Drosophila melanogaster: one gene and its partners. Each later gene encodes a partner of the first gene's protein in a complex. Each region holds a gene or a part of one and is shown on either strand. Other genes may lie near its edges. The genes, in order: fh, Nfs1 and bcn92.

Region 1 (9,801 bases):
CGTTTTGGGTGGCTCGACTAGCGTTGACTGCGGAGGCAGGGCAGCGGCCATCTCCAGCTTCTCTGGCTTGATGGGTGGCGGCGGAACCGATGGCTTCGGCGGTGGCTCAATGTCCATGGGCTCGGGATCCGTTTTGCTGGCAGTTTCGTGCACGTGCACCGCTGGCGCCGGCGTAGGCGTTGAACTCGGTGTGGGATTGAGTGTAGCGGGCTTCACAGCCGGCGGTGTCTCCTTGGGCGGAGCTGCTGGCGCTGGTACCGCCGACGCCGGCTCTTGGCCAGCGGGTGTGGCAGCGGGCTGACCTGGCTGCGTTGGCGGCTTCACTGCCTCCTCGCTCCTCGTCACTGGAGCGGCGGCAGCTGTAGCGGCAGCTGCAGCAGGATTCGCTGCGCTATTCGCATTCGCATTCGGTTCATCCAATCGCTGGCGATCGCGCTTGATGTCCTCGTACATGCGAAGCACCATCTTCTGGAAAGTTTCCTCGTCGACCGCCGGCTTGCAGTGGCGCTTTAGCTCCTCCTGGAAGGCTTCGCTGGACTCCACCATGCGCTGCTTCTTGGCCTCGAACTTCTCCTCCATCTGCTGCAGTTCCGCCTCAAGTTTGGTCTGGTGCATCGTCAACGAGCTGACCTGCCGCTTGAGCACCTGCATCCGCGTGGTGGTCACCACTGAACGCACATCTGGTACAACGGCCTCCGAGAATATCTCGTTAATCAGGCGATGGTTGTGCAGATAGCGGGCGTAGGCCAAGTGCTTGGTCGTATACCCTTCGTCCTGGTCATCCTCGTCCTCCGCCGGCTGAATGTCGATGCGTCGCTCATGCTGCGACTTACTGCCGCCACCGCGTGACGGTGTCTCATGCATATCCACGTCGGTCTTCACCTTGCTCTTGGCCGACATGTAGGCCTGATAGGCGGGCGTCTGGTGGTAGGCCTTTAGCGATTTCTCGTACTCCAGCTTCTCCGCCTCGTATTCGTCAATGAACTCCGTCTTCTCATCCTCGGGCAGCAACTTCCACATGGCACCGATCTTCTTACCCAGCTCCCACAGCTTCAGCTCTGGATGCTTCGCCTTGACGCTATCCCAGACGCGTTTCGAATACCGCATGTAGGGCAAAATGGGCTTCTCCGGCGGCTTTGGTGGCTTGGGTAGCCTTGATTCGTTCTGGTTCTTGCTGCTCGACGACTTGGTTACCTTCTGTGGCGTGAATGCCGGATTCCCATAGTTGCTGTGCGTGAAGATGGGCGTCTGATCCTTGTTGCGATCGCCACCACCTCCGCCGCCGGATGAACGCGACCGGCTGCCGCCGCCGGAGCCACCGCCGCCGCCCTGGAGTGGTGTGGCCGATCCCTGGCCGCCAACGGCTATCTGCTTGTAGTTGCTTGGCAGGGCCATCTTTGTGCAATTCGCTGGTCAAATTTGTATGGATTTTCCAAGAGAAATAACAATTTTCAGACAGACGCCATTTTCTGTCGGCGTTGGTGGAGGTGTGGCCGTATCTGATTCTAAGAAAAATCATATAAGCCGGGAATTGGTATATATAGCGGAATATATATGATAAGGAAATAGTAACTGCTAGAGAATATACAAAATTTTAGTTACCTAAAACTAGCAGAACACTTTAGCTGAATTGCTGCTACTAATAAAAAAAATCTGTAACTTCTCATTTTTATTCAGCTTTATAGAAATCAAAAATTATACCACACTAGAATCTAGAAAATACCAACGGCAAATCATTTTCCATTAAGTTGGCAGCCCCGCAACTGGGATTTGTAAAATATAAACAAATCGTAAACAACTAAAAAATGTTTGCCGGTCGTTTGATGGTCCGTTCGATCGTTGGTCGGGCATGCTTGGCCACCATGGGCAGGTGGTCAAAGCCCCAAGCACACGCCAGCCAAGTGATCCTGCCCAGCACACCAGCGATAGCCGCAGTTGCTATTCAATGCGAGGAATTCACTGCCAACCGGCGATTGTTTAGCAGTCAAATTGAGACGGAATCCACATTGGACGGCGCCACCTACGAGCGTGTGTGCTCCGACACCCTGGACGCACTGTGCGACTACTTCGAGGAGCTGACGGAGAACGCCTCCGAGCTGCAGGGCACGGATGTGGCTTACAGCGTAGGTGACATTCGGCTATTACATCATTCCATTGACCTGCTAATCCTCGCGGGGTTTCCGCTTCCACAGGATGGCGTGCTAACCGTGAACCTGGGAGGACAACACGGCACCTATGTGATCAACCGGCAGACGCCCAACAAGCAGATCTGGCTCAGTTCGCCCACCAGCGGTCCCAAGCGATACGATTTCGTCGGCACTGTGGCGGCGGGCAGATGGATCTACAAGCACAGTGGTCAGTCGCTGCACGAACTGTTGCAGCAGGAGATACCCGGCATACTGAAGTCACAGTCCGTGGACTTCCTACGCCTGCCCTACTGTAGTTAATTCCGTGATTAGTTTAAATTCTCCTCCATAAAAAGTCGGTTGAAACGTTCGATTTTGATATATTTATTGTTCTTCATCTGTTGGCACAGTGGTCACTCGATATACATGGAACTGCTGCTGCTGCGGATGAGCAAAGGTATATACTTATACTTCCCTGGAGCTGTGAAGCTTAGCTTCTGGTATAAATGCTTTGCATTCGCTTATTCATTTATGTACGATTAGTTTTGGTTTCGAAGTTTAAATTTGTTGTTTTTGAGAGGAATAAACTTAAAAATCAGTTGTTTAATGTATAAATCAAATAATAATAATCAAATCACCATTGAAGAACATCATATGTAGCTATACATATTTTATTTTATTTTATTATTTGTCACTTGTACGTTCCATTTCGTTTATTTTTATTTCAATACACAGAATTCAGAACTCAAAGCTCCCCCAGCTAATAATTCCAAACGAAAGTCGATTAAAGTTGATTTCCGGAATTATTGTGTATGTTTATTCACGTGCTCTTCAGATTTATGTTTTCTGAATTCTATTGTTGTTCGGTGTTTTATAAACAAATGAAGGTAGTGATTATTTTCTTTTCTTTTTTTTGGCAGCAGCACACATGTATGGTAAAAAAAAAAATAATAAAAATCACTTGCCAGCTAGCAGATACACGGGCACTTCAAAGGGCGTTATTCTCGTTTCTACATTACGTTTAAATTGCATAACGTTAATAGTATGGATATCTAAGTCTACGACACTCTAGTGACGTCCACCGAACATGTTGTTAAAGTGCGGCTGCTGCTGCTGCTGCTGCTGCTGGGCACCCATAAAGTTCTGGGGCATCTGGTTGAAGGGCGGCTGTGGCGGCACATTGCTGGCCCACGGATTAGGGGGCGGACCCACGTAGCCACCTGGACCTGGTGGCACCATGCCGCCGTAGTTCTGCTGCACGCCATTGCCCGCAAACGGATGATAGCCGCCGTAGCCCTGCTGATTTGGATAGTGATTGGCATTCGGTCCGCCGCTCAAGCCGCTCATCAGTGGCTGTGCCTCCTGGCCAAAGTTGCGGCCATGCTGCTGCTGCTGCTGCTGCTGCTGCTGTTGCCCTGGATAGCCCGCATTGGAATAGCCCGCTCCGGGCTGCTTTTGGCCAAGATTTTGGCCTGGATTCTGACCCAAATTCGGTGCATTCTGCGCATTTGGCGCTCCATGCTGCTGGTTCATCATATAGTTGCGATTGCCACCCACGGGTGAACCTCCAGAAGTGCCATTCTTGCTTAAAGTGCCCATTAGATTGGCTATGATGTTCTCGGTGTCTTTTAGCGAAATCTTGGTCGCTGCTGCTGGCTTGAAAGTGAGCGCATTTGGCGATGATTCAACGCCTATAATGGGCGGCACTCCTGGCTTATTGTGTACACCAGCACCAACGACACCACCACCACCACCAGCACTAGCACTTCCATTCGAATCGCAGGCCTTCATCACCAAATCATCAAAGTTGTAATCATCATCTTCCTCGTCATCGTCATCGAGCATGATACTGGGCGTGTTCCGGCCGCGTCTCTGCTTATTGATGGGCATACTGGACATATCACGATCCAAATTGGGGCGCTGAGCGCTCAGCATGGAGTGACCCACTTTCGGAGCCGTGGCACTGGCGGAGCTGGCGGCCATGGCGGAGGAGGTTCTACCACCCATAACCGAAGCCTTGAACTTGGTAGCCGGTTTCGCCTTGCTAGCCCCACCAATTTTCACCACGCGCGCCAGGAAATCACTGCAGGACTCGCCATCGCCTCGGAGCTCCACCAGATTCACATACTTGCGCAGACGATCGACGCGCGACGGATCCTGTACCTCCAACTTGCGCAGATGGCCAATGAGATGAACCTGCTCCTCGTTCGACAAAAACTTAAAGTTCTGGAGTAGGGTCTGGAGATCTGAATCTGTTAGCGATTCCAAGCCAGTGCTGCCACCGACTGTATCGGCGGCTTGTACCTTGGCCGGTGCTCCCGTAGGTTTATTCACAATATCGACGGACTCCTTGTGCAGCTGATGCTCCACCTCCTTCATCAGCTCGTCCAGATCGATGCCCATGTCATCGGGCGACGGATTATTTTGCAGTCCGAGCTTTACCTTTATCTCCTCGAATTTCAGGCCGTTGTTGTTGTCCAGCTGGCGCCGCTGTTTGTCCGTCTTCATCAGCAGCGTTAGCATGTGTAGCAAGTTGTTCATATCGCCGGTGGACACATTATTGTAGCCGTTGAGTACCAAAGCATTGGCCAATTTGGGCGCCACCAAATTGCGATCGAAGGGCAGCTGTATGGGCGCCGGATTGGCATTTGCCTTAACCTTGACATCGACGGCATCGTTGGTACCTAGAGATCATCCGGTTACGGGTGGTTTGGGGAGGGAACAACACAAAGAAATCAATCAGTTAGGATTAACAGGTGAGAGTGTGTTTCTGTTTCAGATCCCGGCAGATGGAGGATCGTTATCGCACGAAGCTACGCAAATTACATTTATACTTATGGATGGTGTGGATGGCGATTGGACAGCTCACGGTTGGTTTCTTTACACTTGATTCACACACCCAGCAAAAATAAGGGAAAGCTTACCGAAAAACGATTAGGAACGATATCACCAGCGATTCGACCAAAGAGTCTATCCAAATATACGATATAATTACTATATTATCATAAATACAACATAGAAGGAAGACCTTATGACCATTTATGTTTCTCATTGCAAGCAGGTCTTTTTAATATCAATTTAACCCTTTTTGAACCCAAAGTAAAGGTCTTAAAAATAGGTTTCTTAAATTCGAAAAATCCTACGAATTGCAGAGACAAGACCAGCAATTCAGAACACGCTTTATATATATATATGTATACTTATAATATTGTTTAAAATGGTAATAAAACACAGCGCTATTTTGTATTATTTCAAAAATACTCGCTCAGAAGATTTCGTTTATGTTTTAGTGAGAAAGAAGAAATGTGAAATGAGATTGTGATCCCAATTCATACAACAGCCAAAGTCAAAGATTCTTTATTTCATAAGGTGCTAAACTTAAAACGTAACTAAATGTTTAACCGCAGAGTTTAGTAGACTAAAGTGGGGAGTATCTAATGTACATATGTATATATTTCTTTATCACCAGCACATAAAAAAGGTTCCTTTCGAAAAAGGAGAATAGAAATATTTCGAATGAAGAATCTAAAGGTATTCCACCGAATGGCACAAAACTCACAATAAACTCTGCAACTTTGCATAAAAAGCCGTTGAAAACGCGCGAAAAACGAACGATTGTTCCGATGGGTAACCCTTTTTTTGATTTGATTTGTTTGGTTTACTTACCTCCTGATTTCTAACCGCGACCGCGAAAAAGAGCGAGAGAGACGGATACGGATTGAGCGGGTTTGGTGGTGGACTTACCTTTGAAGGTCGCCTGATAGATGATTTCGGCTATGTTCGTGATTAGTTTCTTGATCACGCGCACCTTTTGCGGATCGTCCAGTACCTCGGCAATGAGAATGCCCTTAAGCTTCTCCTTTGTGGTCTCGAGGAACACACAGTTGTCTTCGTTTCGCAGCAAATCTTCAGCTGCATTTGGCTTTACCAACTCCATGGCCAGTGCCTTGCTAAGCAAATTGAGCGCCTTGGGTCCCAGGCTGCCCAGATGCTCCTCGACGGCGGACAGCATGCGCAAGACACTAACGACAGTCAGTGGTCCCTCCTCAATGGGCTCCGATGCCTCCTTCTCCTTCTCCTTGTTGGACGAAGCGGTGGGCGAAATCGAGCTCGTCTTGGTCACTTTGTACTCGGGATATACGCGGGAATCCAGCACGCGGAACGTCTCCACAGACTCATAGCCGCGCGATGATCGAGCATAGCCCTCGTTGCGGTGATAGTACTCGGAAGAGCGTTCGCGCTCACGCTGCAAACTGTGACGACCACCGAAATCCCTGGACGACGAGCCGCGCTCTTTGGATGCTGGTTCACGACCACGACCGCGGCCACGATAGTGGGCCGGCGAGCGAGACCGGTGTCGCATGCTGCGCGAACGCGAGCGCGTAGATCCTCGATTATAGCTGCGACGCGGCGAACGACTGCGTGAGCGACGCACGGCACGACGTCCGCCGCGCTTGGGGGACAACGAACGAGAGATGGAGCGGCGTTTGTGGGAGTGACGACTACGAGATGGAGGACTATCAACATCATCATCGCTGATATCGATGACGGCGTCGGGTAGTTTGCTTGTCGCAACAATCGGACGATTGTTGCGAAAATTCGGCTTCGTTTTGCGACAATTGTCGGAATTGGTGGTGGCAGGCGCTCTACGCGGACTGGCCACACGGATCTTGTAGCGCTCCATTAGCTCCAAGGTCTTCTCTTCGTCCTCGTCGCCCAGCTTGAACTTCTCTTTGAGATCTTTCTTTATTTTATTCACCGCAATGTCGAACAGTACGATGCGACGATCTTTCCAGTAGCTAATCCACTCCGGCTTATAGTCGTATTGATTCGGATCGCATTTCTTCTCCTCCTGCAGCTGCTTGTAGCGTCGATTCCAGAACTGTTTCCACTCATCCGGATAATCGGGATGTTTCTCGGGATTTGATTCGTACATCTCTGTATCACTGCGCAGCTGCTTGAGCTGTATTTCCAGCATGCAACGGAACTTCTCCCACTTGTAGCGCTCCTGGGAAATTTTAGATGCCTGAATGGCCAGCTCCTTGGGCGTGGGCAAATGCTGCGTTTTGTTCACGCCACCTGCAGGTGGTGGCGATTGATTTTTACTACGCCCGCCGGCATCTTCCGACAGATTATTCTTCTGTCGCCCCTTTGGCACCGGGACAACCGAAGCTGTTGAACCGCCAAAGCTCTCATCATCACTGGATATGGCATCCAAGGCAATTATATTTCCATCATCATGCTGCTTGTTGCTATCCCCGGTTCCGTCGACGTTCTTCTTCATGCTGCTCTTGATGGACTCATCCGGTTTGAGTTCGCGGATCACGCGCTGAGCTTCTTCGGAAAAATCTGATCCGGCACACTCATCGAAATGAAAGCTATCCCGCACCTGACTGCACATTTTGGAGCGATAACGGCGAAAATCATCACCAGTTGCAGTTATTAGATTGCGTGACCTGCCGAAATGCTTCTCAATGCACTTGACCAAATTCCCAGTGGCAGTCACCAGATCCCCAGAGCTGTTGGGCGTGCGCTTTAGCTTTTGCAGCTCCTTGTAGGCCTTCTGGAAATGGGTTTGCAGGTACTTGGTGCGGTGCGCCTGCGATGTCCAGTGCACAAAGACGTTGCGTCCATCCGAGCACGTTTGGCAGAGCACACAGAAGTAATTCGGACGCAGTTGGGCCGGCTCGTGCAGCTCGATGGTGTATTCGGTGCCGATCAGTGGTCCGGCTGTGTAGCTCTCGATCTGCTTTTGAATGACCGCCGTGCGGGACACGTCCTCCTCGAAACCGGGCGGTACCGGCTCGCCCGGCAGGAAGCTCATCGTTTCCTGCAGATGGGTATGGGCATCAGGCCAAAAGAAGAGAACGCCAATGAACGAAAATGGTCTAGGATCAGTACTTACCTTGGTCTGTCTCTCACTTTATTTCCGTATCAAAGCGAAGCCTTCTGATTTTCCAATTTTCTTGTTCACTTTTTTGCGCACACGAATGTTTCGCATTCGCGTTCACTTATCGACAAAAGGGGGCGGCTTATGCCCGCGTGCTTATCGTTACTTACTATGGCTGCGTTAGGTAATTTAGATTATTTATCTACGTCTTTGACATCCACCAGCTTCGTTGATCACTTGTTACGAAAATTGAGTCCAAGTCGAAGCCTTTTTGACAATTTTCTTTTCTTTTTCCAGCTTTCCAGTGTGACCGTCCGTCGTTCGGGCGATAACAACGCCAACGATAGCTGAATATATCGATTGTTTGCCAGCACTTTTAAAAGTGAAACAAAAAAAAAACCAATTCTTTTTTATGATTATTAACAGAATATTTACATCCATACATAGAGTATTGTTGTTTTTTTTCAGAGCGCTGTAATGGAAATATGGCTCTAAACGCGCTTTCACATTTTTTATACCAATTTCCGTTTGGTTGCATTCAAAATATTAAAAATGGTATAAAATTCCAAATAACTGTTTCCAACTGAAAGTGGTTTGTCCTTAGTTCTATTGTGGATTTAATAAGGCAAATAAGGCCAAAATTTTTTTTTTTCAATGCGGGATTCAAATAATCTTATTTTGGTAATGGTAAAATATTGATTTCGTTTAGAATTTTTATTTTATAATCAAATTTAAAGCCTTTAGGGTTAGGGATATATTTCGTTAATATTTAATGGATTTTTATTTCGAATATTTGCTTATATTTTCTAACTTCAGTGTGACATGGAAAACATGCTTTCGTCATTTGGGCAAAAAATAAAAAAAAAAACACACACACTTCTTGTGTTTCTGCTCATGAGCCCATAAATATTTACATGTGTGGATATGCGGAGTCATTATCTTTCACCCGAAACATAATCTCCGGCCGAGTGCAAATTGTTCTCGCCTCCGCCGCAAGAATGATGGACTTCTATGGATTGGTTCTGCGATGTGGGATGTTCAATGTTGGATGTGTTTCTGATGGCGTCGCCGCAGCTGGCTTAAATCAATCCCAGCTCCCGTTCATTATTTTTTATTCACTGTATGTATGTATGTATGTAGGTATTTTCCAGCTGAAGCGGGAGCATTAATATCATTGGGTCCCAAGGGATTGGCCACATGTGCAGTTTGCCGGTTTGCCGGCCGCCGAGGACAAATGTCAGCGAACGGGACGCGGTTTTTCACATTTTCAGCGATTTCCACGAACCGAGCCCACATCCCAACCGCCCTGGGCTGTGCAGTGGAACCACCCTAATGTGAAGTCAGGGAATTCTAGCGTATATGCTTGCATACTTCTACTGAGCACCTGTATGTAGCTAGAATTTCTTTCCATGAATTTCTTACCAGATGGCTGGCAATTTCCGCTCTAGCGAGGCCGCACTGTGCGCGATATGTGTGATAGATGTAACACGTATCCTGGGAGTGGATGAAGGGCGCATTAATCGCCGCACGATGAGCACACTGATATGGCTGTCGCAGATGATAATGGCAATACAACTGACTGCACAATGAGCTGACCATATGCGCACATAGACAATAAAATACGAATGCGAATGCGAGTGTGAGTATATGCCACCCCATTTTTGAAGGCCGCCCCGGTGCATTTGACAGTGGGCGAAGTTGCGCTTCATGTGGATGCGGATGTAGCCAAGGACGAGGATGAGGATGAGGATGAGGACGAGTAGTGGGATTGGGAGTGGGATGTGG
Region 2 (10,578 bases), on another chromosome or scaffold:
GCAGCAGGCTGCAGCTGTTGCTGCTGTGGCTGTCCAAAGACACTTTGTGCACCTGTTGCCGCAGCTCCTACACCAAAAATGCTATTCCTTGCATTGGCATTGCTAATCGTTCCGCCGAAAATGCTATTGGTGTTGCTGGCTTGGCTTGTGGCATTCCCAAATATATTTCCCGCACTCAGCGTGGGCTTTCCAAAAATGGATGCAGATGTATTGGCGGCAGCCGGAGCTGCTGCAGCGAAGGGATTACTGGACTGCTGAGGGGCAGCCGACACAGTGCCGCCCTCCGGCGTCTCGTGGATCTTGATCATCATTTCCAGGACCTGCGGCGACATCTGAAGCATGGTCTTCATCTTGTTGTTAGCCTCTAGGACCTCACGGTTAAACTGTTGGCTGAACTGTTCGAATTGGTTTTGTCGTTTGGCCTCGTAACACATGAACCGCACCTCCTCGAAGGATTGGTCCTGAATAAAGTTGGGGAAATTCGCTTTGTCCTTAAAGGGTCCGTAGGCGGACAAAGGCCACATCTTGCCATTGAGGCTGGATTCCATGTCGGCTTTGAGATATTGCCTAAAATAATTAAGTTATTAGTTCATCTGCATAGTTTTAATATCAATGTACTCACTTAACATCGAAATGCTCGTTGTTGCACTTTGCGCCATAGCGGCAGGAGCCTTGTTGAAAGAACCGGCAGACAACCATATTTAAATTTGATTTTAATTTTTGCCTATTTCCTATATTTATTATTTCAAAACTGCTTCAACTTTTGTACTTTTGTTTATAATTGTCTTACTTTGCGTATTGAGTATTCTTTGAGTATTTTATGGCTCACTGAGAAAAATATACCGTGCCTATGCGCGCAATTTCGTGAATTCGTAACTTAAGTTCGCTGAATGATTAAGATAATTTTGTAAGCAAACATATTTAAGATGAAAACTGGTTTTTGAAAATATAGTTCCTTGTAAATTATACATTAAGTGCGAATATATCTGAAAAATATTGGTTTCTTGCACAGATGCTATTCATTTTTCATATGTTCAAAGAAATTCAGAAACTTGCTTCTGCATAATCGAATCAGATAATTTTAAAGTGAATTCCGGAGTCCTTTGGTATATCTCGTGCCGCCGAATACGGTCCCACTGATTGTGAAATCCGTGATAACGAATTTTAACACCAGAATTTCTAGGATTCCATCAGAATGCAAAAAGTGCTGGGACGCATCCAGGCGCAGGTCCTCCGCTCCCGGGCGACGAATGCATTAGCCAATGTGGTTAGACACGAGGCCACCTCCTCCAGGACAGCGGCTAAACCAGCCGCCACATCCAAAGGTAAGCGGATCCTCCAAGATGCACAGTTACCGCTTACCAAAATCGTATTCGTTCGTAGAATTCCGGGAGAGACAGGTGCGATTCAACATAAAGAACGAACAGACCGAGGGTAGACCACTTTACCTGGATGCCCAGGCCACCACTCCAATGGACCCACGTGTATTGGACGCTATGCTCCCCTATCTGACCAATTTCTACGGAAATCTGGTTCGTACGCTTCGCCTTCAACGCCTGGCAAAAGATTCTGGCCTTGGGCAATCAACTGGGCACAACATTTGTCTGGGAATTGGACTGCAATGATCCCAATTTAACAAAGTGTAGCCAGCTGGTTCATCCCAAAAGCAACTCCACCATCCGACAGACTTCCTTCTCCAAAGACGGTTCCATTTTAGTTTGCGTGTGCGACGACAGCACCGTGTGGCGATGGGATCGCGTCAATTAGGATGAGTGTTTCTAGGCTAAAAGAATTTTCCTTATCCTTCTAAATCCGATACCATATTTATGTAACCATAGTTATTTTCAGTGTAATGTTTACCTTCAATATTAAGTATGTTCTTATGCGTAGCATTTATATACAATACTCATTGTATTGACAATTTATGTTAAATTATGTTAAATTTTTTAACATTAACCAAGATATTTATTCTATTCTATTACTTTTTTAATGATCAAATAGCTTCGCAAATATTATCATCTTATGTTGTGTGAATGGCGTGGGCTCTATCTTTAATGTTTATATTTTAACTAACTAACTTGTACACAATAAAAACTGTGAACACTAAAGATTAAAACCAATATTTTTTTAAAGGGTTCTTCAAAAATAACGGTTTTTATCTCAAATGTATCTGGTATTTTCAGCCGTTCTTTGAACGGTCACTCGAATCAGCTGCATTCATTTGTTTATATAGCAATTCGCAAACAGTTGGATTTTCCTGTTTAGTTGTTATTCCCAATACTAAAATGCTTACCGACAGAGTTCTGGCCACCAAGGAGGCGCTAGTGGTGGCTCTGGGCGACAACTGGGAGCGTTACCGGGCCAACATGAAGAATTGGTTTCGGAGCCGTTGGACTAAGGAGGAATTCGATGCGGAGTCGCGGAAAATCCTAACACCTGACAAACTGCACCTGCACAATCAGTTCCTGCTCGCCCTGCTCAACAAGATCGACGCCTTTGCTCCCCTGGAGAATCCTCCGGCCGTCCAGACCAGCAGCAGTAGTGGCAACCGAAGCAAACGGCGCAAAAGAAGTTGCCGCACCTTCGCCGAACGCCTTAATTTTGAGCTCAGCGACGTCCTGGACTTTGTAGCCGAGGACAACATGCAAATCATTCGTCCGCCAACCACGATCGGTATTCCGTCGGACCAGCAACAGCAACAGCTTCAGTCGCAGCGGTACTGCGCGCAGGAACTTTTCCTGCCCGACGCGGGATTCATTATGGGACGATTTCTGATCGGTGCCTGGGAAATCGGACTTGTCTCCGTGGACGACAATGTCGCCGAGTACGTTGCCATGGCCGTGCAAGTTCTGCTCAAGGATCTACTATCGGCAATCATCAAGAAACGAAAGCACTACAAGACCAGCGGCGAGGGAAACTTTTACTACGATGTAGGTGCTCCGTTGCGTGATCCTTCGCTGCGCAACACCGTCACCCGGCAGAAGGTCGACGACACGCCGCTGGAACTGGACAAGGAACTGAATACGGCCAACTTTATGCGGCGACAGAACGACGATGTGACCTTCCTCTCCGCCTGCGAAGAAGTGTAAGCTCCTGAATAATAATGAGATTTTCATGTGAAACACAAACTTAGGTTTTGTTTCTTTCAGCCAACCCACCGAACGCACAGTAATCACCCTCAAGGACTGCCAACTGGCCTTACGGGATCGCAACCTGATAGGCTCGCATGCCGTCTACTCCATAAACATGGAACGACTCAATATGATGATGCATTAGCTTATAAGTTCTAATTATTTTATTATATCAGCTTCTGTAAAAATATATACATTATACGCTAGTGTACCATTAAGTGTTTGGTTCAGCAAAGATTCCGTGGAGGCGGTTTGAATGGCAAGGCACCTGGTAGAAATTGATCCGCCTTGAATGCTTCGATTTCCTGCTCGTTGAGATCCTCCATGCGACTGTAAACTGAGGACTGGATTTCGTTGGTCGGTTGAGCTTGCTGCTGCTGCTGCTGCTGCATCATTTGCTGTTGCTGTTGCATTTGAAATTGTTGTTGCTGCTGCATTTGTTGCTATTGCATCTGCTGCTGCTGATGCATTTGTTGCTGTTGCATCTGTTGCTGCTGCTGCATCTGTTGCTGCTGCTGCATCTGTTGTTGATTAGGGAATGCAGATGCTGCTGCTTGAGCAAATAATCCGGAGGCAGCTGCCTGCTGCTGCTGTTGTAGTTGCTGAGAAGCCTGAGTAAACATTCCGCCCATATTTTGGCTTGCGGCTTGGCCAAAGATTCCCGTCGACTGCGGTTGCTGCTGCTGCTGTTGGAAACCACCGAAAGGATTAGGATTCACTGGCTGAGCTTGCACCTGAACCTGCGCCTGGGCGAAAATGTTGCCCCCTTGGAAAGCTTGTGCAGCAGGCTGCAGCTGTTGCTGCTGTGGCTGTCCAAAGACACTTTGTGCACCTGTTGCCGCAGCTCCTACACCAAAAATGCTATTCCTTGCATTGGCATTGCTAATCGTTCCGCCGAAAATGCTATTGGTGTTGCTGGCTTGGCTTGTGGCATTCCCAAATATATTTCCCGCACTCAGCGTGGGCTTTCCAAAAATGGATGCAGATGTATTGGCGGCAGCCGGAGCTGCTGCAGCGAAGGGATTACTGGACTGCTGAGGGGCAGCCGACACAGTGCCGCCCTCCGGCGTCTCGTGGATCTTGATCATCATTTCCAGGACCTGCGGCGACATCTGAAGCATGGTCTTCATCTTGTTGTTAGCCTCTAGGACCTCACGGTTAAACTGTTGGCTGAACTGTTCGAATTGGTTTTGTCGTTTGGCCTCGTAACACATGAACCGCACCTCCTCGAAGGATTGGTCCTGAATAAAGTTGGGGAAATTCGCTTTGTCCTTAAAGGGTCCGTAGGCGGACAAAGGCCACATCTTGCCATTGAGGCTGGATTCCATGTCGGCTTTGAGATATTGCCTAAAATAATTAAGTTATTAGTTCATCTGCATAGTTTTAATATCAATGTACTCACTTAACATCGAAATGCTCGTTGTTGCACTTTGCGCCATAGCGGCAGGAGCCTTGTTGAAAGAACCGGCAGACAACCATATTTAAATTTGATTTTAATTTTTGCCTATTTCCTATATTTATTATTTCAAAACTGCTTCAACTTTTGTACTTTTGTTTATAATTGTCTTACTTTGCGTATTGAGTATTCTTTGAGTATTTTATGGCTCACTGAGAAAAATATACCGTGCCTATGCGCGCAATTTCGTGAATTCGTAACTTAAGTTCGCTGAATGATTAAGATAATTTTGTAAGCAAACATATTTAAGATGAAAACTGGTTTTTGAAAATATAGTTCCTTGTAAATTATACATTAAGTGCGAATATATCTGAAAAATATTGGTTTCTTGCACAGATGCTATTCATTTTTCATATGTTCAAAGAAATTCAGAAACTTGCTTCTGCATAATCGAATCAGATAATTTTAAAGTGAATTCCGGAGTCCTTTGGTATATCTCGTGCCGCCGAATACGGTCCCACTGATTGTGAAATCCGTGATAACGAATTTTAACACCAGAATTTCTAGGATTCCATCAGAATGCAAAAAGTGCTGGGACGCATCCAGGCGCAGGTCCTCCGCTCCCGGGCGACGAATGCATTAGCCAATGTGGTTAGACACGAGGCCACCTCCTCCAGGACAGCGGCTAAACCAGCCGCCACATCCAAAGGTAAGCGGATCCTCCAAGATGCACAGTTACCGCTTACCAAAATCGTATTCGTTCGTAGAATTCCGGGAGAGACAGGTGCGATTCAACATAAAGAACGAACAGACCGAGGGTAGACCACTTTACCTGGATGCCCAGGCCACCACTCCAATGGACCCACGTGTATTGGACGCTATGCTCCCCTATCTGACCAATTTCTACGGAAATCCCCACTCCCGTACCCACGCCTACGGTTGGGAAACAGAGTCCGCTGTAGAAAAGGCCCGCGAGCAGGTGGCCACCCTGATTGGCGCCGATCCCAAGGAGATCATCTTCACATCCGGCGCCACCGAGTCGAATAATATCGCAGTAAAGGGTGTTGCCCGTTTCTACGGCACTAAGAAGCGACACGTGATCACCACCCAGACGGAGCACAAGTGCGTGCTGGACTCTTGTCGTGCTTTAGAGAACGAGGGCTTTAAAGTCACGTACCTGCCAGTGCTGGCCAACGGACTCATCGACCTCCAGCAACTGGAGGAAACCATCACATCGGAGACCTCGCTGGTGTCCATTATGACGGTGAATAACGAAATCGGCGTACGGCAACCCGTCGATGAGATTGGCAAACTGTGCCGGTCTCGCCGAGTATTCTTTCACACGGATGCCGCTCAGGCGGTGGGAAAGGTCCCGCTGGACGTTAACGCCATGAACATTGACCTGATGTCTATATCCGGCCACAAAATCTACGGCCCAAAGGGTGTAGGCGCCCTGTATGTCCGACGAAGGCCGAGGGTTCGCCTCGAGCCCATCCAAAGTGGCGGCGGCCAGGAGCGTGGCCTAAGGAGCGGAACGGTTCCAGCCCCGCTCGCCGTGGGATTGGGAGCTGCTGCGGAACTTTCTTTGCGTGAGATGGACTACGACAAGAAATGGGTGGACTTTCTATCCAATCGCCTGCTGGACAGGATTTCAAGTGCCTTGCCGCATGTCATCAGGAATGGTGATGCCAAAGCCACATACAATGGTTGCCTGAATTTGTCGTTTGCCTATGTCGAGGGCGAGTCACTACTGATGGCTCTTAAGGACGTGGCCCTGAGCAGTGGGTCCGCCTGCACCTCCGCCTCCCTGGAGCCCTCCTATGTTCTGCGTGCCATCGGCACCGACGAGGATCTTGCCCACAGCTCCATACGCTTTGGCATCGGGCGCTTTACCACCGTCGAGGAGGTGGACTACACCGCCGATAAGTGCATCAAGCATGTGGAGCGACTGCGCGAGATGTCGCCGCTGTGGGAGATGGTCCAAGAGGGCATCGACCTAAAGACCATCCAATGGTCGCAGCATTAATGTACTAATATTTAAGCCGTTACTGTTACACCACACTTTGAAAGCGAAGGGAAAATAAATTTGTTGGAAGAGTATCTAGGTTTATTTGTACACAAAACCACTTATAACTAAGCTTAGTCCGAACGAATGTGCTTGTGTAAGAGGTGAGGCAAGAGAGACCCCAAAAAGCGAAAACGGCTCAAAGTGCGACGGCCAATGATATGCAAATGATGCAATAATTTGCATTCGCCGCTGGTCAAGGTTCAGTTGGCCTTCTTCTGGGGTGAGCCGCTGGATCCACCGCCCAGGATCTTACGGCGCTGGGCGAACATGTGCAAGTACAACTGCGGGAAGATGGGGATGTAGCCGAGCATGACGATCCACAGGAATCCAAAATACGAGAAGGTGGCGTTCCACTTGTTGGGCATCACCACACTCCACACGCTGTTCTCACGGGCATAGCTCTGGGCCCACCAGAAGCACAGCAGCTCCCCAGTCACGCCGATGGGATACAGGACAATGAATGTGGTGTAGCGCAGGAACACCACAAAATGCGGCACCACCTTGACGATGTTCAGAGCGTAATATCCATATCGGATGATCTCAGTGATGGCCCAGGCCAGCAGGGCGATGGGCAGACCGGGTGAAACCTTTCCAGTAGGCGTGGCCATCACCACGCCGACGACCACCATCATGCGGCTGAACACCTGGAAGCCAGTGACCACCGGGTTCGACTTGACCAATCCAAAAGAAGCATTGAGTATCTCCACGAACGCGGCATTCTGGAAGATGATCACGGCCAGCCGAGTATACTCCCACAACGTCACCTGGGCACGGAACTCCGGACCCTGCAATATGTAGTAGTTGACCAGCTGCCACAGGATGTAGCTCCATCCGACCACCTGGCCGGCGTTGTACGCAAACAGGTACAATTTAGTGACCGCCGACGGCTCCTTGGAAGCGCCTGGTTTGCTGGACTTGGACACTGCCTTTGCTGACATGTTGGAGCGGAGATGTGTGAACTTTCACCTTGCCGATCGCCGCTGGTTAACTAATCAGTCGTCACAGTCTTATCGCCCTGTAGCGCGATAATTCCGAAGTCGCTTTCACCTGATTGGGTCAGTATGACCGCACGGCGACCACACAAAAAATACCAAAAAAAAGGGCTAAGAAATATATATAACTATTAAATACCCTTCCATATAATATCTTTTATAAATAAAAACGCTTTGATATCGAAAATTGTTCATTTAATCATTTGTAAATTAATAATCATTTAATTAAAATTTCTTGATATAAAATTTCATTCGCCTTTATTTTCTCTGAATTTTGTTTTTTGCTATTCACAATTTTTCCAACGAGTATAAATAAAAGATGAACTTCATTCTTTCAAAGTCAACGGGTACAAAGTGCATAGCCTTATAACCTTTCCTCTATTCACAGATCGCAAATCTAAGTTAACAATGCCACAACCATTAGGCATGCTTAGCAATTAAGTCGTTTTTATGTGCAAAGTTATTTCACTTAAGTTAAGTTAAGTCTCAAAACGTTAAAATTCTTTGAAAACTATGATTTTAAATCCTATCAACTTACTTTAAAGCTGAATTACCGTTTCTTATGTTAGTACAAATTAAAGTAAATAAACTAAATAATAACACAATTTATATTTCTTCGAAAATATTCTTAGTATCATTAGTAAAACTATAATAATTTTTAATTATAGTAAAAATTAATACCTATCATATATATTCTTTCTTTAATGTATAGTAAAGCATGGTTAAGAACAATGGATAATGGGTGGTTATGAGCCGACATATAAAAATTTATCGCTAACGACAAGGTGGAGAAATCAATTTTTTTGATAAGAACTAGCCCATTGTACGCTTTGCATTTCTAACCACATTTCGCTTAAAGCAGCCCACTGTAGGCGGCAGCTGACGTTTCCCAGCGAACGACGGCTGGTTTGCGCGATGAGCCAGCAAGGCAGCTAAACTTTCTGGTCGCCTGGTGGAAACCGAACCGAAAACCGAACGTGTCTGAAAAAGTCCGCCACCACCACGGACCGGTGCACGTCCCCACCTGCCAAGTCGCGTGTGTGTGGTGTTGCCTGTGGACCGACCCCAGCTCTCCATTAATGGGCAGCCGGAGCGAATCGCTTGTCGCCGTTGTCGAAATTCGCAGCTCGTTCGCAATCGGAATTGGAACTTTTGTTCCGAAAGCAAAAGGCCGCTAGGCCGGACGGCACAACACGGCACGTGCTGCTGCACACGATTTGTTTTATGTGGGCGGAGGCCCGCAACCACGCCTACCCTGTGAATTAATTTGCTGCTGCTTCTGCTGCTGCTGGTGCTGCCCATTTAACGCAAATTACTAACTACTCCCCTAAAAAAGCCGACGCCTTATCAGCAGCAGCAATAGCCAGCATGCCCGCCCGCCTGGCTTATCAGCAGCGGCGATTGCTATACGGGACTCGTTCCGTACGACGGGCGGAGCGGCAATTCACCCAGAGCAGCGCCCACAAAGGCCGATTGGACAAAATTGGAAAAACGAGAACCCCGCCAAAAGTGAATTCCCTCTTTTTCACCAGGCGCCCAGAGCGGGCAGACCAACGAAATGCCGTCAAATGCCAGCAAAACGGCATTCGGCAGAGTGCGAGCGAGACGACGCTAGTGTCGCAATGGCAGGGGTTTTCAATGTGACTGGTCGCCGGTGTGTGCGTGTGTGTGTGTGTGCCGGCAATGAAATTGCCAAAGCTGACAAATTGCGGCAGTTTAAGGCAAAAGCTAGTGATAATCGAAACTCTTTAAGCCGAGCTAACAAATTCATCGCTCTCTTTCGCTCCAAAGTGCACGTTTACACATTCTTGTTTAAAGCGAAGGGCAATCAAAACAAATTGACTGGTTCGGCGAGCGGCTAACAGAGGGCGCCACCTTGATGGTGAGGGGTTCCATACATATGAATATGTATGTAAAAACCCAGGGCGAAAAAGTCATGAAAACCCATTGCCTCTATACACGCCCACAAATGCGAGCCCTGCGCGCCCCTCTTGCCATCTCGTTCTCGTTTCCACTGTGCAACATGCCCAGCAATTGGAGAAGAAAAACAAAAACAAAAGCAAGAAAGGCGGGAAAAAATAGGTAAATATTGTTTGTTTGAACACCACAATTTCTAATGCAAACACTCGCGCCCCTGCAAACGCTTGAACATTTTGCTCAATTTTGAGCAGTCATTTTGTTTGCTCACATCACAGGCCAACAGAAAACGGAAAATTGCCCCCAAACGCTACGGCTTGTGTTCTACGACTATGCCACTATGGGGTACATGGTATGGCATAGTATTGAATGGTATGGTATGGCACATACGCGATAAGATGGCGATGGCCGTTGGAGCGGGAATAGAGAACTGCATGATGGCGCCCGCGGCGGAAGTTGCGGGCGCCCACTCCGGCCGGACATTTTGTTTTGTGCCCGTCATTTTGCTTATTGCACAAATTTCTACTCGGCCCGCAGCAAAAATCACAGCTTGCCCCATTTATGCGCCAAAAAACTATCGCCTAACACCGCCGATTAACTAACAGCCGTGCCAAAGAAGCGGCGACTAAAAGCGTTCATTATTGTGGGCGTTCAACGTTTTCCCACATGAATCATAACAGGCAAGCAGCAGCCACAAGCCACAAAAAGAGCGTATACCCCACAACTGAACAAAAAAACGGGGGGGAAAAAGCGAACCCAACTATTTGCCTTGCGTGTGTGTGTGTATGCGAACCCCAAGGCGAAATAAAAGAAGAAGCAGCATTCGATTCGACGGTGGGAAACCAGTTTGTTGGCTCTGCTCCAAGATTCCGCCGGCAATTCTGCCGGCGATGGCCCCCAAATGGCCAGTGGAGCCGTTGACCAGCGAGCGTATGGTCAGCTATTGATGTTTGCCTTGGCTTTTTCCATCGCCAGCAACCCTACTGCTCCAAGCGGGAGCTGCTTAACAGGCGCAAATTAAGTGCTCCCCACAAATTAAATGTGTACTGAGTAGTTTTCTCTGGGGTACAAAGT
Region 3 (10,011 bases), 7.0 Mb from region 1:
GGCAAGGTGCAGGAGATCTGGAAGATCCGCGAAATGGTGCCGCTGGGTCTGATCGAGAAGAGCTTCTGCTTCAAGTACGACATCTCGCTGCCTCTGCGGGACTTCTACAACATTGTGGACGTGATGCGAGAGAGGTGCGGTCCCCTGGCCACAGTTGTCTGCGGATACGGCCATCTGGGGGACTCTAATCTGCACCTGAACGTCTCCTGCGAGGAGTTTAACGGCGAGATCTACAAGCGGGTCGAACCCTTCGTCTACGAGTACACCTCCAAGCTGAAGGGCAGCATTAGTGCGGAGCACGGCATTGGCTTCCTGAAGAAGGACTACCTGCACTACTCCAAGGACCCGGTGGCCATTGGCTACATGCGCGAGATGAAGAAGCTGCTGGACCCCAACAGCATCCTCAATCCCTATAAGGTGCTTAACTGAAGGCTTCTACCTAATAGATTCTATTTTTTTTGTTTGTGTGTAATTTTCATAACCTTATAATACAGAAATGGCATTAGAAGTGAATTTTGTTAACTTGTGAAGTTAAAAAGGACCATCATATTTGGCACGAAACCAATGGGCAAAACTTACTTATAAAATAGTCCGAAAAAATAGTATATACCAGTTTTTACAGTACCACATTATAGGTACTCGGAGGTAATAATAGAAAAAACACTATCTTTGCATTTACTGTTACACTACGAAGCACTATATTTAGTAGCAGTACTCATTAGAGTCCACTCACAAAATTAGCACCAACCGGCAGTAATTGGTCAAGGATCGGCGATAGCTTCAAACTCCGAAGTTCAAAGTCAAACTGCCGCCCTGCGAAAGCTTCGCGAGTGGAGCTTTTCTGCACTTATCGATAGCTAACATTGTGGCGCGACTATCGATCGACGAGCTGCCGCTTAACAGTGCCATATATAGATTGTAACATTAGAAGCTCAAATCATTGTTGGAGCACAAACCACAAAGAACACACGAAACATGAGCGGGTGAGTAGAGGGAAATTCTCTTTTCCCCGGAGTTTTCCGCGATCCTAACGTCGCCCATTTCCGGATTTCTTCCAGACAAGCGGATATTGCCCTCATCGGCCTGGCCGTCATGGGCCAAAACCTGATACTCAACATGGACGAGAAGGGATTCGTGGTGTGCGCCTACAACCGCACGGTGGCCAAGGTCAAGGAGTTCCTCGCCAATGAGGCTAAGGACACCAAAGTGATTGGAGCCGACTCGCTCGAGGACATGGTCTCCAAGCTGAAGAGCCCCCGGAAGGTCATGCTGCTGGTCAAGGGTGAGTTGCATATCCAAATTCAGCGGCTGGGTAGCGCAGAGCATCGAAAACCCATTGAAACCTGCTGCAAGCGATCGCTGTGTTGGTGACTCAACTTACATGTGTGCGCGCGTGCTTGTGAATTGGTGAAAAAGTCGAAGCAAAGTAATCATGATGACGATTTTTGCGGCTCATATTCCAATGTGCAAAGGGGAACGAGATAGGATAAGCAGGTGGAAGTAGGAAGAGGAGGGAGCGCGAGAAAACGGTGAAGGGGTGGAGTAAACACAAAAAACAACTGTTTAGAGATCATTGAGCTGCGGCCTTAACCACTAAGTCTGGGTTAGGAGTTCTTTTTGTACAAATGATAGGGATGGCATTTCGTAGGTTTTGTATGCGATAGTTTTGACTTGAAAACTAGACAGAATTCAAAGCTCTTTATAGGATTCGAAACTTAAGCATTGTAGCTCTTTTAAAACCGGACTTCTGATAAAAGGTTTATAAATGGATCAGTCCCATTTCGAAAACCGTAACCACAAGTGTGGCGTGAGTTTTGTCTAATCACATAGTTGTGGTAAGCTGCCTCCACTTACCTAAACCATCGAGCGAACCCATCAGGTGATTTCCAGGTCACTCACGCGTTCGTCTACCACTCTCGCGTGTCCGAAACTCTGCTCACCTCTAGATCGGCGTGCCCGGCTTATCTGTTCGTGCGAAAGCAACAACAACGCGGCGCAGAGAGAAATCTTTGACATTCATAATAGGTCACACAAAATGGGCGATTTTCAGGTGGATTTACTCGGATTTGACCAGCCGAAAAACCTACATATTCCTCTTCTGCGAGTTGCCAGGCCAGTGAGTCATTTCGTCTGGAGACTGCTCCTTAGAAGAATACAGTGCGGGTCAATAACATATGTACATAGCTCTGGAGGTTTTTGTGCTGAACATATGTAGATTTGAAAGTTGCGTGACAGGTTGTGCGAATCCCACATTCACAGGGTGGGTGGGAGTAAGGACAAAGGTTATTGATTATCAGTGTAGTTAAGTTATCAAGGATGACGACACAAAAAGCTAGTTGGTCATTGAACAGAGCGAGTCCAACAATCTTGACCGCTAGTGTGCCCCACAAACCACCACCAACGACCGCTAGATAGATAGATCAATGGTAGTATCGCCACGACTCGTTGGCCTTATCTGGGTCCACTGCGCTGGAGAACTGCTCACCCGGCGCTAGGGACGCCTCGCCACCAGGGTGACCTCCAAAACAGTGACTTTCCAAAAGCAACCAACCGACCTTGTCCAATCGCACGCTCTACTTTCTGGCTAAATCGAAGATTTCTTTACGTTAAAAGAACTGGCGCTAGCTAAGAACGCTTTGGAAAATGAGTCTACGATAGTTGAGCTTTTGAGAACCCCGATGAGGAATTCGATCTGCTTTAATCGACTTTACGCTAATCAGATGTAATCTCGATACAATTTCAGCTGGAAGTGCAGTCGACGACTTCATCCAGCAGCTGGTGCCGCTGCTTTCCGCCGGCGATGTGATCATCGATGGTGGCAACTCGGAGTATCAGGACACATCTCGCCGCTGCGACGAGTTAGCCAAACTTGGCCTGCTCTTCGTCGGATCCGGCGTGAGCGGTGGCGAGGAGGGCGCCCGCCACGGACCCTCGCTGATGCCCGGCGGACACGAGGCCGCGTGGCCCCTTATCCAACCCATCTTCCAGGCGATCTGCGCCAAGGCCGACGGTGAACCCTGCTGCGAGTGGGTGGGCGATGGAGGCGCCGGTCACTTCGTCAAGATGGTGCACAACGGCATCGAATACGGTGACATGCAGCTGATCTGCGAGGCGTACCACATCATGCAGAGCCTGGGACTGTCGGCTGACCAGATGGCAGACGAGTTCGGCAAGTGGAACTCGGCCGAACTGGACTCCTTCCTCATTGAAATCACGCGTGATATTCTTAAGTACAAGGACGGCAAAGGTTATCTGCTGGAGCGGATTCGCGATACCGCCGGCCAGAAGGGCACGGGCAAGTGGACGGCAATCGCTGCTCTGCAGTATGGAGTGCCTGTGACGCTAATTGGCGAGGCGGTCTTCTCGCGATGCCTGTCTGCCCTGAAGGACGAGCGCGTCCAGGCCAGCAGCGTGCTGAAGGGACCCTCGACCAAGGCGCAAGTGGCCAACCTCACCAAGTTCCTCGACGACATCAAGCACGCTCTCTACTGCGCCAAGATCGTGTCCTACGCCCAGGGATTCATGCTCATGCGAGAGGCGGCCAGGGAGAACAAGTGGAGACTTAATTACGGCGGCATTGCGCTGATGTGGCGCGGCGGCTGCATCATCCGCAGCGTCTTTCTGGGCAACATTAAGGACGCGTATACGTCGCAGCCGGAGCTGTCTAATCTGCTGCTGGACGACTTCTTCAAGAAGGCCATCGAGCGCGGCCAGGACTCGTGGCGCGAGGTGGTGGCCAATGCCTTCCGCTGGGGCATTCCCGTGCCGGCCCTGTCTACCGCCCTAAGCTTCTACGACGGCTACCGCACGGCCAAGCTGCCAGCCAACTTGCTGCAGGCCCAGAGGGATTACTTCGGCGCCCACACCTATGAGCTGCTGGGCCAGGAGGGTCAGTTCCACCACACGAACTGGACAGGCACCGGCGGCAATGTGTCCGCCAGCACCTACCAGGCGTAGGTTCCACCTGCTCCACTTTCCCGTTCACACATTCCATGTCATTGGCGCCGGTGTCTTAGATGTTTCTTTTTTTTCTGGAGTACTTTAGTACTTATTTATACCATTAATATATATGTATGTATATAGAATTTCATAATTGTTGTTAAACATAACATTAAATTGGTGTTTTTTTGCTAGCAAATGATTTTGATTCCTTAGTTTCATGAATGCAAGTGCCATTTAAAATCAACAATGCGTGTGGTTTGGTGTGTTGTGTTGTGTGTGGGTCGAGTCTTTCGAGTTGTGTCTTCATCTGGAGACGCCTCCTGCTCCTTCTACCGCTCCTTCCCTGCTATTGTACTCTCTTCAGCTAGCGCGTTTTTCGCTCCGTATTTCCCTTAGTCGTCCGAGGGCTTCAGGGTCTTCTTGTTCTCTATAACCAGTTTGTCAGCGGAATACAGGTGGCCGATGATTACCTGTGGACATTCAAAGGTTAATAAACTCAACCGGCTGATAAGCGAAAAAGGGGCAAAATGGTTACTTTCGATTTCTAATAGGATGGTAATTGAGTTTTCCATTCCCCATATTTGCAAAATCAGATATATATGATAAAATCTACTTTAAATATACATTAATATTTTTAATCTTTAAATTGATTGTCTTTGATAAGGGAAGTAGTAGTTGATAGTAGTATTTTTATACCACTAATTATTTGAGTTCCTAACAACTTGGTAAATAAACGACGGCTCTTTTTGGATGCGCTGTGATCTCGAAGACGGAATGCCTTACGTTATCTGGATACTTTCAAGCATTGCTGATAAGGGAGAGGGGTGAAATCCGACGAACCACTCACCTGGCGACGTATCAGCTCCAGATTCTGTTGGCCCTCGGCCATTTGGCGATCGATCTCCGCGAAGTCCCTGGTGCTCCTGTTGGCGCGGAATGTGTCGCGTATTTTTCGGGCAGCGTACATTCTGAAATCCGGAATAGATTGCTCATCACTCGCGGCGGCCTTTCAATTTCACAACACCTACCTGAAGTTGTACGAGGGCAGCTTCTCCGATTCGCGCAGGAGATTCCTGTATAACGTGATCGCCTGGCGACGGGTCGACATCCTGGTCTTGATCCTGGCCGAATGGAACTGAATGGCGGGCGGGCTGGTGGATTAAAGTGCTGTTTAATTGATGAGTGCTTTGTTTTGACCCTGGTTTCTTGTTTCGGTGCGGCAACTGCCAATTGACCGCCTGATGACATAAAAATTACATGCGGAAAGCCGGAAAATACTGACTTTTCCGCTGCAAAATACCAGAAACAGCTGACTGCATTCACTGTGGTGTCACGTGCGTGAGTCTTAGAGATGACACTGCGTCGTGCGGAAATCATCGCAACTGAATAAAAAAACTATTTTTGTGATACTAAATATTATTGCAAAAAGTAAGAAATAAATTGAGTTCATAGTGCAGAAAAATAATTTATTAAGAATCCGAAATATTTAGAGGTAAATATTAAAATAAAAACCAAATTAACCTGCTCCCATTATACAAAATAAGACAACTGCCGCATTTTTTCAATTTTAGTTTTAATTCTGTTTGTTTTTTCCGCAAGAACAATATATTATGTACTCGTTGAAAACACAAAATAAATATATATATTTTGTTCCCGAAATTGTTTCTTTCTTGCACGCGCGCTTGCTTTTTAAATCTGACTTTTGTAGCCTAAAAATGACATTTTTAGTGGTTGTAAACGTACACATATATCCATATACATATATATATTTATTTATCAGTGTTAGTTTTATAAGTAGAGTTTCTTTAGCTTACGTTTAGGCAATAAAATAACTTTATTTCCCACATCTAATCTAGAATTTTCCTCTCTAACTCTCTCTTTACACATGTCTATCGCTCTCGCTCTTTCTGCTGCAGCGTTTTTGCTAAGAGCGCTTGTTTTACAATCAATAAAAAAAAGGTTTAATATATAAAGTATGAATAGGTAAAAAAAAAACACATTCGAAATAAACCTAAGACGCGTCCGATAAAATCGCTGATTAAAGAATATTTACATGGGTGTGTGCTTTCGAGGGTAAGCCGACATTTAGCTGCTAATATTGCTTATGACTATATAACGTACTCATATTAGTGGGGATTTGGATCTTTGTGTTGTTCGGGGTGTCGCTTTCGTTTCGTCAATCTTAATCATTTTCTTTAGTTAAAACGCAGACCATGCTCAGGAATTCGCTATCACTTTGGGTTAATACAAACGCAAAAACAGATCGCATTGTATCCTATCGCTCTTAGCTATATACTTCTATATATATATATATCTATATATATATAGCTGACTGAAACTAGGTGCATTACAGGCTATACACATACATGTAGTGATTGTTATATCAACACATAAACAAATTACATAATCACAAACAACAGAATTTTATTTTGGTGGCAGGCTTTCGGTGTGGTTAACGACAATTGCGATGGCTCTTCGATTCCGATTCAGATCCCAGGTCCGATTACCTGTGGCTGCTGTACGTTTTATAGACCCGCGGCGCCCTCGTCGTTCCTGTGGCCGATGTGGATGAGGGTGCGGAGCCAGAGCCGACCGTGGTCGAGCTTGTAGCAGCATGCGACGCGTCCGCTCCCACGGCCAAGACTTGCGCCGTCGTTTCCAGATTCAGAGGCAGGGGGTTGTCGTGCTCATCCGAGTGCTCGTAGATGTAGTCGCGCTTCTTAAAGTTGTCGATGATGCGCTTCGTGGACTTCATATGCGCCACAAAGGCTGCCTCCAACTATACAAATGGTGGAGAACGTTAACGAGTTAGAAGGTTGTGCAGTTTGATGGATTAAGGGTAAGATGGATTAAGCTATCGATCTGAACTGAAAATGTATGACATATTATGAGACTCACGCTGGATGTAAGGTTCATGAATGTGTGGTACTTCTCCAGCACTCCAATAATCTCCTTAAAGCTATTTCCTCGCAGCTGGCGGCGCACCACCGACTCGTACAACTCGTTGTCCGCTATCAGATTTCCCACCAGGATGGCCGCATAACTTCCCTTTAGCGTGTGCTCCATGTGGTGGCCGGCTCGTTGCACAACTGTCAAAACCGCCCGGCAATTAGCATAGGTCACAGATCATCAAACCGCTAAATACTCACGATTGTTGACTGTCTCCTCCACTTCTTCTTGTTTCTTCTTTCCCTTCTCGTTGCTCTCGAGGAAGGCGTCCGTGTTCTTTTCCACCAATCTGCGGGCGTGAAACATAATATAAAGCAATGCGACAATGTGACTAGAATTGTTAATGTGTCCTACCTAGCCAGCTCCTCGCACTTGTAGAAGTACTCAAGCAGAGCTTGCAGTGCACTCACAGATCCCTGCGCTGGTGGATTATCCGCTACGTACTCTGCCGGAGCGGCAGCTTGCATTAGAGCAGCCCGGTTGGGCACAGTATGCATGCACAAATTGATTAGCAGTGTAAGAACCTGGAGAGGTGGGAATCAGTGTTTGAAATTGGTTACTTGTGAAGCGAAAAGATATAAATCTCACACTCACCAGTATGCTTAGCTCAAAGACACATTGGTCGGGAATGTAGTTGGCCGAGAGCAGCAGCAATCGGAAGCTCGTCTCCACCACATCGCCCCTTTGACCTAGCAGCTCGGCTCCCAACGATGGCTGCGCCTCGTTGAACGTGTGCGTCAGGTTGATCAGTACCTTGAGCACCGGCACCAGCAGCTCGCGCATAGCCACACCCGGATGCTCCTTGTTGCTGCCACCACCATCCGAAGGATGCAGCATTATTTGTCGGCTGCAAAGACGGTACAGTTGGCAAAGCGTCTCCACTGCTTTTCCCTGGCCAGAGGTGAGCATGTAGCGCTGGTTCGTCTCATTGTGCTGCGTCACGTTTTCGAGGACTCGCAGACAACGCGCCACCGTTTGCATGTTATCCAGCAGCGTCGGCTGCCAGTCAATCTCCGTGTCGCAGGCAATCACCGGTCTGCAGAAGTCCGAGATGGTCTTGATAATGTGCTCCAGGCCACCCAGCTTGCGCAGATCCTCTTTAAACCACTCGCCCGCGCGCTTGGATGTTAGCGATAGCAGCGTTTCCATTGCCAGCGTGCCCACAGTCAGAGAATCAACGTTGAGATGCGTTCCCTTGCCCTGCGCCTTGATCTCCTCGCACAACTCGCGCACCTTCTGCTTGTTGCGGTCGTAGCCCGCTCTATCCGGGTGCCCAGTCTCCGTGCTGCCACCCACGCCGTCCGCCTCCAGAAGGTTGATCATCAGCTCCAAGGAGTCGCGATCCAGGTCCATGTTGAGGCCCTCCTGGGAAAGAATGTACATGATGGCCGAGGTGCACAGGCCTAGGCTGAGGTCCTTGTTGGCGTCGGATAATGCCTACAGTTAAATAGTCAGTTAATTAACAAAGAGGTTGATACTTTTCCTAAAACTTTTTTTTTTGTTATTCACTTTGCAAATAATCAATAAACTGTACTGATTTAAAGTGGAAAACATTACCAAGTTGATTAAAGTACAACTGCAATGGTTTAATAGTTTATACAGGCTTTTAATACAGAATAACAAAATAACAACACAGCTTTCAAAACAAACTGGCTATTCTGGGGACAGCTTTGCCGAAAGCTGATATTTTGAATTTGATAAGATTCAATTGCATAATCAAACTATGCAAATACCAAGCGCCCAAAGGCGGTTTGGAGCTCAATATATGTAAGAATTGGGGATCTAACTTACCTTGAAAAATTTGGTGACCACCCCATGGGCACGCACGTGCATCCGGAAGGCGGGCATCATACACTTGGCGGCTAGCTGAAGGGCGGAGAGACACCGTGTTGCCGGGGGATTGTGCGGCTGAAGTGCGTCCAGGATGTACTCGACGTCGTCGTCCATTTCCTGGTACTCGCCGATCTCCTGAATTTGATGGGCCGTCTTAACGTTACGCACCACTGGATAGTAGTCCTTAGTTTTGCGGTCGACCCGAACGGGGCCGCCACCGCCCGTCGCTCCACCTCCGCCTGTCGTTGCCCCTGTTCCACCAGCGGAAGCACCAGCTGCACTACGCTCTAGGTCAAGCTCTCCGGCAATTGGTTCCAAATCCAGGTCAAAGGCATCGGAACTAGTGGAGGTGGCAGGTACTCCCTGTTTTCCCGCCAGTCGCGAGATCTTTCCGAGGGCCGGGCTATCGCCGCGCAACGTGGATGCGCTGCTGCACGCACTGGAGGAGCCATTGTTGTTCGACGACGGACTGTCACCGAAATCACCATCGGACTTGCCCGCCGCTAAATGATGCAGATGATCCTTCGCCCCAGCGACGCCCACGCCAGATGCCGAGGCATTGCTGGCATCGCTGTTGGTTCCACCGCCATTCGCTTCTAGCGCAGCATCCCAACTGTGCTTGTACAGATGTCGCTTGGCCACTGTAGCCTGTTCCGCTTGATCGGATGGCACCAGAGCGCGGCTTTTGAAGATGCTGCCTTTCTTCTTTGAGATGACCAGCTTGACAGCGCCCCGCTGTTCGCCAGAGGACTCAGGTGGCGCCGCCGCTGCTGCTCCTCCCGCTCCGGCGTTCGCCGCGCCCTGTGTGTCCAGTGTCAATGTTCGCTTAAACTTATCCTTAAACTTGAAATCGCGGGGTGGGGGCGAGGAGGAGGACCCATCGTGCTGCAACGAGGAGTTGTTTGAGTTGTTCGACAGTTCATCCGGATCAGGATCCGGATCATGGTCTGGCGAATGTTCCCTGTGATCTGTGTGCGGAATCTTGGCGGGTGTGGGCTGCTCCTCCTCAGCATCAGGAGTTTCCTGCTCTTCGGGCACTGGCTCCTGCTGTAGCACCTGCGTTACCTGCTGGTTCTTTCGTTTCCGACCATAGCTTCGTGCCGCTCCACCCGCGACTCCGCCTTCTGCTAGTCGGCTGGCCTCGGCCTTGGCTGACAAATTGGCGGCTATTTTATTAATGTTATTGTTAACGCTTGCCAAATTATTGTTATTGGCTCGGGCAGCAGCATTGCGACCTCTCCTCGGTGGAAGTGTGGCCTGTTCCAGCTGTTCCTCGTTCGCTGGCAC

The links.
Region 2: fh (region 1) and Nfs1 share a complex: the UniProt entries of both Drosophila melanogaster proteins name them as parts of the mitochondrial core iron-sulfur cluster (ISC) assembly complex.
Region 3: fh (region 1) and bcn92 share a complex: the UniProt entries of both Drosophila melanogaster proteins name them as parts of the mitochondrial core iron-sulfur cluster (ISC) assembly complex.

What each region holds. Positions count from the first base shown.
Region 1 is NC_004354.4:9,141,017-9,150,817, reverse strand, and holds fh (frataxin), read left to right. Parts: upstream 1-1,746; 5' UTR 1,747-1,805; coding exon 1,806-2,123; intron 2,124-2,192; coding exon 2,193-2,447; 3' UTR 2,448-2,738; downstream 2,739-9,801. Other genes in the region: Bap111 (brahma associated protein 111kD), read right to left, coding at 1-1,395; CG7065 (uncharacterized protein), read right to left, coding at 3,195-4,810, 5,871-7,950. UniProt on the Drosophila melanogaster protein: Promotes the biosynthesis of heme as well as the assembly and repair of iron-sulfur clusters by delivering Fe(2+) to proteins involved in these pathways.
Region 2 is NT_033779.5:11,994,619-12,005,196, forward strand, and holds Nfs1 (Nfs1 cysteine desulfurase), read left to right. Parts: upstream 1-5,035; 5' UTR 5,036-5,106; coding exon 5,107-5,236; intron 5,237-5,294; coding exon 5,295-6,553; 3' UTR 6,554-6,626; downstream 6,627-10,578. Other genes in the region: CG18789 (uncharacterized protein), read right to left, coding at 1-567, 623-699; Qtzl (quetzalcoatl), read left to right, coding at 1,196-1,325, 1,384-1,625; Ada1-1 (transcriptional adaptor 1-1), read left to right, coding at 2,286-3,085, 3,150-3,276; Hacd1 (3-hydroxyacyl-CoA dehydratase 1), read right to left, coding at 6,796-7,533. UniProt on the Drosophila melanogaster protein: Catalyzes the removal of elemental sulfur from cysteine to produce alanine. It supplies the inorganic sulfur for iron-sulfur (Fe-S) clusters.
Region 3 is NC_004354.4:2,144,432-2,154,442, forward strand, and holds bcn92 (bcn92), read right to left. Parts: upstream 5,217-10,011; 5' UTR 5,051-5,216; coding exon 4,971-5,050; intron 4,911-4,970; coding exon 4,790-4,910; intron 4,413-4,789; coding exon 4,335-4,412; 3' UTR 4,032-4,334; downstream 1-4,031. Other genes in the region: D2hgdh (D-2-hydroxyglutaric acid dehydrogenase), read left to right, coding at 1-429; Pgd (phosphogluconate dehydrogenase), read left to right, coding at 976-983, 1,059-1,282, 2,744-3,957; wapl (wings apart-like), read right to left, coding at 6,446-6,721, 6,841-7,031, 7,092-7,180, 7,246-7,415, 7,486-8,328, 8,683-10,011. UniProt on the Drosophila melanogaster protein: Stabilizing factor of the core iron-sulfur cluster (ISC) assembly complex that regulates the stability and cysteine desulfurase activity of Nfs1 and participates in the [2Fe-2S] clusters assembly on the scaffolding protein IscU.